Linked DNA regions of Callithrix jacchus. The protein of the gene in region 1 interacts with the protein of each later gene in a pairwise test. Links are inferred from orthologs where the notes say so. Each region holds a gene or a part of one and is shown on either strand. Other genes may lie near its edges. The genes, in order: XPO7 and USO1.

What was found.
Region 2: the proteins of XPO7 (region 1) and USO1 interact in binary tests that used the Homo sapiens proteins (3 or more experiments, as listed by UniProt). The two-hybrid records come from large-scale screens. The link is inferred for Callithrix jacchus from reciprocal best matches to the Homo sapiens genes XPO7 and USO1.

Annotation. Positions count from the first base shown.
Region 1 is NC_133514.1:19,496,101-19,499,926, forward strand, and holds part of XPO7 (exportin-7), read right to left. Parts: intron 3,388-3,826; coding exon 3,305-3,387; intron 3,051-3,304; coding exon 2,836-3,050; intron 2,608-2,835; coding exon 2,469-2,607; intron 1,347-2,468; exon of another isoform or gene 1,122-1,346; coding exon 961-1,121; exon of another isoform or gene 772-960; intron 416-771; exon of another isoform or gene 282-415; intron 1-281.
Region 2 is NC_133504.1:122,331,759-122,335,584, forward strand, and holds the end of USO1 (general vesicular transport factor p115), read right to left. Parts: intron 2,503-3,826; coding exon 2,287-2,502; intron 1,467-2,286; coding exon 1,377-1,466; 3' UTR 462-1,376; downstream 1-461. UniProt on the Homo sapiens protein: General vesicular transport factor required for intercisternal transport in the Golgi stack; it is required for transcytotic fusion and/or subsequent binding of the vesicles to the target membrane.

The DNA.
Region 1 (3,826 bases):
GGCAAAACCAACCTGCATGATCCCTTCCAGGTACCTGGAGTTGATAGTTTAATGATAGTTTGTGGATAAATAATGATATTTCACTGCCCCTCACTTTTTTTTTTTTTTTTTTTTTTAAGATGGAGCCTCACTCTGTCGCCCAGGCTGGAGTGCAGTGGTGCAATTTTGGCTCACTGCAACTTCTGTCTCCTGGGTTCCAGCAATTCTCTCGCCTCAGCCTCCTGAATAGCTGACGTTACAGGCCCGTGCCACCATGCTCAGCTAATTTTTTATATTTTTAGTAGAGATGAGGCTTCACTGTGTTAGGATAGTCTTGATCTGCTGACCTCGTGATCCACCCATCTTGGCCTCCCAAAATACTGGGATTACACACCTGGCTATGTCACTGCTTCTTTAGAGAACAGTGTGGACAAAGGTAAGATTGGCTAAAATCTCAATAGTTAGTGATCCCATTTCCTTACCTATTTTTATCTAGTATGTATTTCTGTAAGTTATTTCAAGTTTTATTTTCATTGCATACAAATAAAATAAGGGCAAGCATATAGTTGATCTCTCTGTGGCCAGTTATTTCCTTCTGTCTTACATTTACGTTCCTGTTTTGTAAACAAGAGCACAGGCCTTTAGAAAGCCGGCTGCTGCTAACTCTTGCTCTATTTATTGCAGTGGGTGAGCAAAGTAATTTTCACAGAAAAGAGGATAGTGCTCATGAGATAGGCACAGGGGTTGCTGTGACAGAATAATAATCCAGAACCTGATTTTTTTTTTTTTCAGATTTTCTATATCCAGGGATTGATTACTTGGCAAACTCAAACTCCACTGCAACTTGAAGAAACAAACTTCATCTCAGCAGCAGGAACCTGATGAGATGTTAGGTTAATCATGTGTGGCCTCCCCTGTCTTGCAGAGGTCCTTCCTCTGTCGGACACTCCATCACTGCCTCCTAAGCCTCCACTTTCTTACCTGCTGGATCATCTCTGGATGCTGCTGCATGATGTGCAGAAAGCGGTCGCTCTCCTGGTTCAGGGGTGTGGTCCTCTTCTTGGTGCTACGTGACAGCTGCTTGAAGAGGTATGTCACTATGTGGTCCAGGCAGGAGCAGCAGCCTGTGCATACCATGGTGTCTGCAAGAAAGAAAGGTAGGAGTAGGACAGCTGCTGCAGATGACCTGGGCAAATATGGACTATCTTTGGCTGAGATCCACTAGGGTCCAGTGGCCAATTCAGCCAAGGCCATTGGTCAAGACTCCTTGTTAACCTCTTACCCTCATTGTATAGCTGGGCTCAATTTCCAAGTTTGAAAGTGAGTATTGGTAATATATATAAATAAAGAATACCGAAATTACTGTCTCAATGTGTTGCTGATGTACATCTTCTGCTGCACACAAAATGACAAACAGTTTAGTTCAGCAAGTGCTTCTGTGGTGCCAGATATTGTTCTAAGTACTTTATAGGTGTTGTTATCTAATTTAGCCTCTCAAGAACTCCACGAAGTAGGTTTTGTTTTACACACGAGGAAACCAGAATTTGGAAAGGTTATGCATTGGCCTAAGGATCAACTGCTAGTAACTGCAAAAGCTGTGACTGGAATCCAAGAAGCCTGGGGTAGGAGCCTATGCTCTGAGTTACCTGCAGGATGTCATGAAACCAAGATTGATGTAGCCTATGAATGTTTATGGTTTGTTAGAGTGGGCTGTGCTGTATTATGTGTTTATCTCCCGCACATCTCTGGAGGGAGCTGCAGACTCATCTATGCATCTTTACAAAGGGAACAGTACAGCACAACCTGTGAACAGAACTCTGATGAGGTGAGCCCAAAGAACTAAGGGATGAACGCTTAAACGAGTAAGCAATTCTGATTCCTACGGGACTGATGGTTTATGCAAAGGTCCCTCTATTTTCAATAAGGCAACAGTCTTCCAAAGCAAGGACTGATACCTTGACTGGACTGTACTACATATGGCTGTGCACCCTGATGGAATAGTGGAAATGGAAGTGAGTGTGTATCAAAGTGGCACAGAGGCATGGATAATTCACCACAGTTGATAATCCACAAGTCAGTCTATGTGTATTTGCAATATATCATCACTATTTGGCAGCTGACTTAATCCTCCTACTTAGGTTTTGCTCAGCCTAATATAAAAATCTGTTTTATTCTCCGAACACATATACCTATTACAAAACACATTTACCTATTACATACACCTATTACCTATAAACAAATTGGTTGACAGGAACCAGATGGACTAGGAAGAAAAAACTTATGGCGCTAGCTGTGTGAAACCTTTCCCCAGCTTCCACGGCCCTCAGGACAGAGTTCAAATAGCCTAATACGGCTTATGGGCCCCCTTCATGATCTCCAGATTTGCTCCTGCTCATCTCTAAAGCTTCTCCCTTTCTGTTAAGTGGTTAAAAAAAACAAAACAAAACAAAAAAAACCCACCAACTTACCCACCCCACCCACGTGCTTACCAAGAGCAGTAAGTCCTTCAGAAATGGAAGAGAGAATATACATGATGACATGAGGTTCCAGGCTTGCAATAAAGTTCATATGGTCCTGGGTCAGGACTTCCAGTAGTGAATAGTAAGACTGGCTGAGCTTGGGGTAATCCTGTGGGAGAGAGGAGGAAAAAAATCAGCTTAGGCACTATGCACTCCAGCATGCAGGGAGACGATCTTAAATAGATCCTCTTTTCAGTTGGGAAAACAAAAGACTTAGTTATAGCAGAAAAGAGCTAGCTTATATAGTTTTTCAAGAGCAATGTTCCATCATGGTCTCAGGTGAAAAAGGCTAAATGTGATGAGGAACAAGATTCTGGCAATGCAGCGTAAGGCTTACCAAGAGATCACTGTGGGGAATAGAGAGGAGCAGCTTGATGAAGGTCTGCAAAGCATTGTCCAGGGCATCGTCTCCATAGAGACGAAAGACTCCGAAATTGACGTAACTCCCACTGAGAGCAGCCTTCAGCATGGAGAAGCAGATGGAGATGCCCTTGAGCTTCAGAGCATAGACCTGATCCTTTGGGACCTCTCCTAGTGTCAGGATTCGATTGCCTGAGTAGACATGTCATATATGTTTATTCAACTACATTAGAAGTGCTCATTTATATCAGCCTTCCTACTCCAAAGGCATACTACATTCCAGCAGGCCCCTGGTGACAGGTGGCACTCTAATGCACCTGTATTAGCATATGACAGGAATGCCGTCCTGGCTCTTGCCAGGGCTGGCCGGAGAGACACATTCTGCTTACAGTGTGGTGACTGAGCTGGAATTAACTTCGAGAGGCATGATTCTCTGAAGCACTTACCATACATTGTTATCATCTTGCTGGTTTCTCGGAAGAGTAAGATGCCATTGGGGGAAGAGACATCAAACTGGAGTCGCTGGGATCTGAGCAGAGAGCACAGAAAGAGAAAAAGTCAAACTGTTTTTTTGGAAGACTAGGGTACTTGAGGCTCTCATACCTTGGGTGATCCTGCATTTACATTAAAATAAGTAGCTTGCCTATTCTAATATGAGAATAACCAAGTTATAGATATTTAACCAATAATGTCGCTTCTATCTTGAAGACCAACATGCTAGATTCAGATTCTGCTGCTCAAATTAAAAACATTTAAAAGAAAAAAAGGCAGCAGATAAAATTACTGTCTTAAAAATCTCAATTTTATTTGATTAAAGTATACTTTCTACCAGTCACCTCTTGGTACTAACTCAGAGCCCTTCAGCCATTAGTCTGCATGGACCTTTATGGCTTCAGTGGCATCTGAGGGAGGGGCAAAGGCTGTTACTATTTTATACGAAGAAAGGAAGCAAAGGGAATTGGAATGGT
Region 2 (3,826 bases), on another chromosome or scaffold:
TGCACTCCAGTCTGGGTAACAATAGCGAAACTCCGTCTCAAAAAAAAAAAAAAAAAAAAGAAACATCCAAACCCTTTTCTAACCTCTTCTACTTCTGTAGTTGCTCTAACTAACCCTCTCCAAATTTAGGGAATCCTAATCATTGGTTTTAAAGATTGTTTTTAACATTCAGTTATAGCTGTATACCCTAATAAGAGAAGTCTCTTCACCATTTTCACTTACCTCGTCTTTTATTAAGAATAAAATACTTTACGGGGGTGAGGGGACAGGGGAGGGATAGCATTAGGAGAAATACTTAATGTAGATGATGGCGCAATGGATGTAGCAAACCACCAAAGCATGTGTATACCTATGTAACAAACCTGCACGTTCTACACATGTACCCCAGAACTTAAAGTATTAAAAAAAATATACGAAAATACTTTTCTTAAGATGTAAAAAAAGGGAACTGTGACCAAGGATTAAGTAAGTGAACGTATCTATTTTTTATTATGAAACATTAAATTTTGACACACTGCTTCATTTGCTTTTTTAAAATCTATTATCTGACTTAAACCTAGTCAGCAAAAATGCCAATAAATTATATAAATCATAGTTTGGGTACTTTTAAAACTAGGAACATAATATGTTTTATGATAAACAATAATACTAAATCTGAGTTGTATGAACTGTTAACTTGAAATTTGTTTTAGATGTTTAGCTTAAAACAAAAAGAAAACCAATCACATTAATACACTGTTGCAAAAGTTTCTCAGCAATGCCCTCCACATCACTGTGTCAGCATCCTTCGGCTTCTTCGCTGAGGTACGGAATGCAGCCATATGTAGGTGGCAAGGCACTCATTCTAAACTGTTCTATACTGCACATCTTAGATATCACATTAGATGGAGGGCTGATATGCACTAACCCCCAGGCCAGGCGATCTTGCTTTTAAATAAACTAATTTCTTCAAAAGAAAATCATCAACTAAACTCAAATGCTGAATTTAGAAATAATAATTCCAATTCAACATATTAAATCAAATGTGTTAGCAGTTAAAAGTCACAAATTTTGAAAAGTTAACAACCAATGAACTAAGGCAAATAGCATTGCCACCACATGTCTTAAAATGGTATATTTTTGGTGTCTGAAGCTCTTTGAAAATTATACATTGGGACAGTTAAGATAGATTTAAATAAAAGATGTGTGTTCTACATAAATTTAGTTTTAAGGTTTTCAACATGGGTGGCAACATTACAAAAATATATCAATAGTCTTAATAGTGAATGTTTTCCACTTGGTTTCTAAATCTTTTATTTTCTGTGGAGGTAAACCAAAGTTTAGATTCCATCTTCAAAGTTATGATATAATCTCTATTGTTCCTAGAGATTTTAAAGCTAGATACGATCTAGGTCCTTGCCAGGATCTTCACTTTCATCATCCTCATCCTCTTGGTCTCCAGATTCAAGTTCATCCTCTTCTTCAACCTAGAGGAAAAAGACTCATTTAATATTGTGAAAATTTGTTCATGTCACATTCAACATTTAACAATATATATTATTATTATTATTATTTTGAGACAGAGTCTTGATCTTGTTGCCCAGGCTGGAGTGCAATGGCATGATCTCAGCTCACTGCAACCTCTGCCTACCAGGTTCCAGGGATTCTCCTGCCTCAGCCTCCTGAGTAGCTGGGATTACAGGTACCCACCACCAAGCCCTGCTAATTTTTGTATTTTTAGTAGAGATAAGGTTTCACCATGTTGGCCAGGCTGGTCTCGAACACCTGATCTCAGGCAATCTGCCTGTCTCAGCCTCCCAAAGTGCTGGGATTACAGGTGTGAGTACTGCACCTGGACAAATTTTGTAACTACAGTAGAATATACCATCTGATTTCTTTGATCTAATGCCCAAGGCTGTCATTTCTAATATGAATGAGATATTATCAGTTAGCTTTTCTGATAAATGGCTATACTACTTTACACACAAATCTGAACCAAACATGACAAAAGATAATGACACACTTGGGTGACAACAGTCTTGTTACTGCATGAACAATCAAATAAATTCACTTTCTAGGCTCAAGGTCCAAAAGAAAATAGTTTATAAGTACTGAAAACTTAAGCTAATGTGTGTCTTAAGTAAATTCAATGAACACAGCGAACACAGTGTAGATGATACCATATTCATGAACCCACATATCCATTCCTATAATATAGCACAACTTTTCCATGTTACATTAAAAATCTTTCAAATGCATTACATTAAAACATAATACAAATCATTTTTGAAGACATTTTAATCTTACTGGATGACCAAGATCCTTGAGTTTATTCTTCAATGACAGTATTTTCTGGTCTTGATCGGCCAAGAGCACCAAGAGATCATCCTGTTCTTTTTTAGAATCTGTAATTTCCAACTCTAGTTTGTCTTTCTCAGTTTGTAAAATGGCAATGGTACTATTAGATGAATCCAGCTGCTCTTTAATGGCAGTTCTTTCCTCAGACAGAGCTTTAATTTCATTCTAGGAAAAGAAAGGTGAAAGGCAGGAATCTAAAATTAGCACTCACTTTACTAGAGTTTTTAACAAATAGTTTTTTTCTATGACAAATCACTGTACTTGCTCAACCTAAAGAATTTAGGGGTGGGGGTTAAGGGTACAGGAGTAACATGAGAATTTTTTAGACTGTTCATCAAAAACGGTTACTGCAAAAAAATAAGTTTAACATCCAAAAAATAGTTTTAGTTAGCTATTCCTCAAAAAAACCTTTAGAGATACAAAAAAAGCATTATAATTTCAGTTAATCGAAGGAGTAAACAGAAACACAAAGCATTTTACAGCACAAGTCTAATTAACACCAGAATTTTAGAACTCAAAGCTCAAGTTAAAAAAATATTTTTTATCCCAACTTCAAGCATACAATTAAAATAAAAGAAAATAGCTTCAAATAAAATCTATGGTTTAAAAATAAAATAATTTGGCCACAAAAAGCACAATTATACATTATTTTCCTTATTTTCACTAATGTAATCTCATTTCTTTCTTCCTATTTATTCTGATGTCTCTGTCACACAATAATATGCTGGCAGGGTTTAACGTGCCTATGTTCCACAGCTTATGGAAAGCCTACATGCGGCTTGTGTATTAGCGAAATTTGTACTGCTTGTTTTGTTATTGTGATTAGATATTGATCTTAAAAAAGAAAACACAGGCCAGGTGCAGTGGCTCACGTCTTTGGGAGGCCAAGGTGGGTATCATCTGAGGGTTGAGTTCAAGACCAGCCTGGCCAACATGGTGAAACCCTATCTCTACTAAAAGTACAAAAATTAGCTAGGCATGGTGGTGGGCGCCTGTAGTCCCAGCTACTCAGGAGGCTGAGGTTGCAGTGAGCCAAGATCGCTCCATTGCACTCCAGCCTGGGCGACAAGAGCGAGACTCTTCTCAAAAATAAATAAAATAAAATAAAATAAAACACAAATATTTTCAACAAATTTTACTTTTATAGTACATGCATATACATGCTTATCTTACATATTCAGTATTATTTGAAACAGTATTTTAAAAACTTCATTTGTGGCCAGGTGTGGTGGCTTACGCCTGTAATCCCAGCACTTTGGGAGGCCAAGGTGGGCAGATCATAAGGTCAAGAGATCGAGACCATCCTGGCCAACATGGTGAAACCCTATCTCTACTGAAAATACAAAAATTATGTGGGTGTGGTGGTGCACACCTGTAGTCCCAGATACTGAGAAGGCTGAGGCAGAGAATCACTTGAACACGGGAGGTGGAGGTTGCAGTGAGCTGTGATCGTGCCACTGCACTCCAGCCTGATGACTGAGCAAGCCTC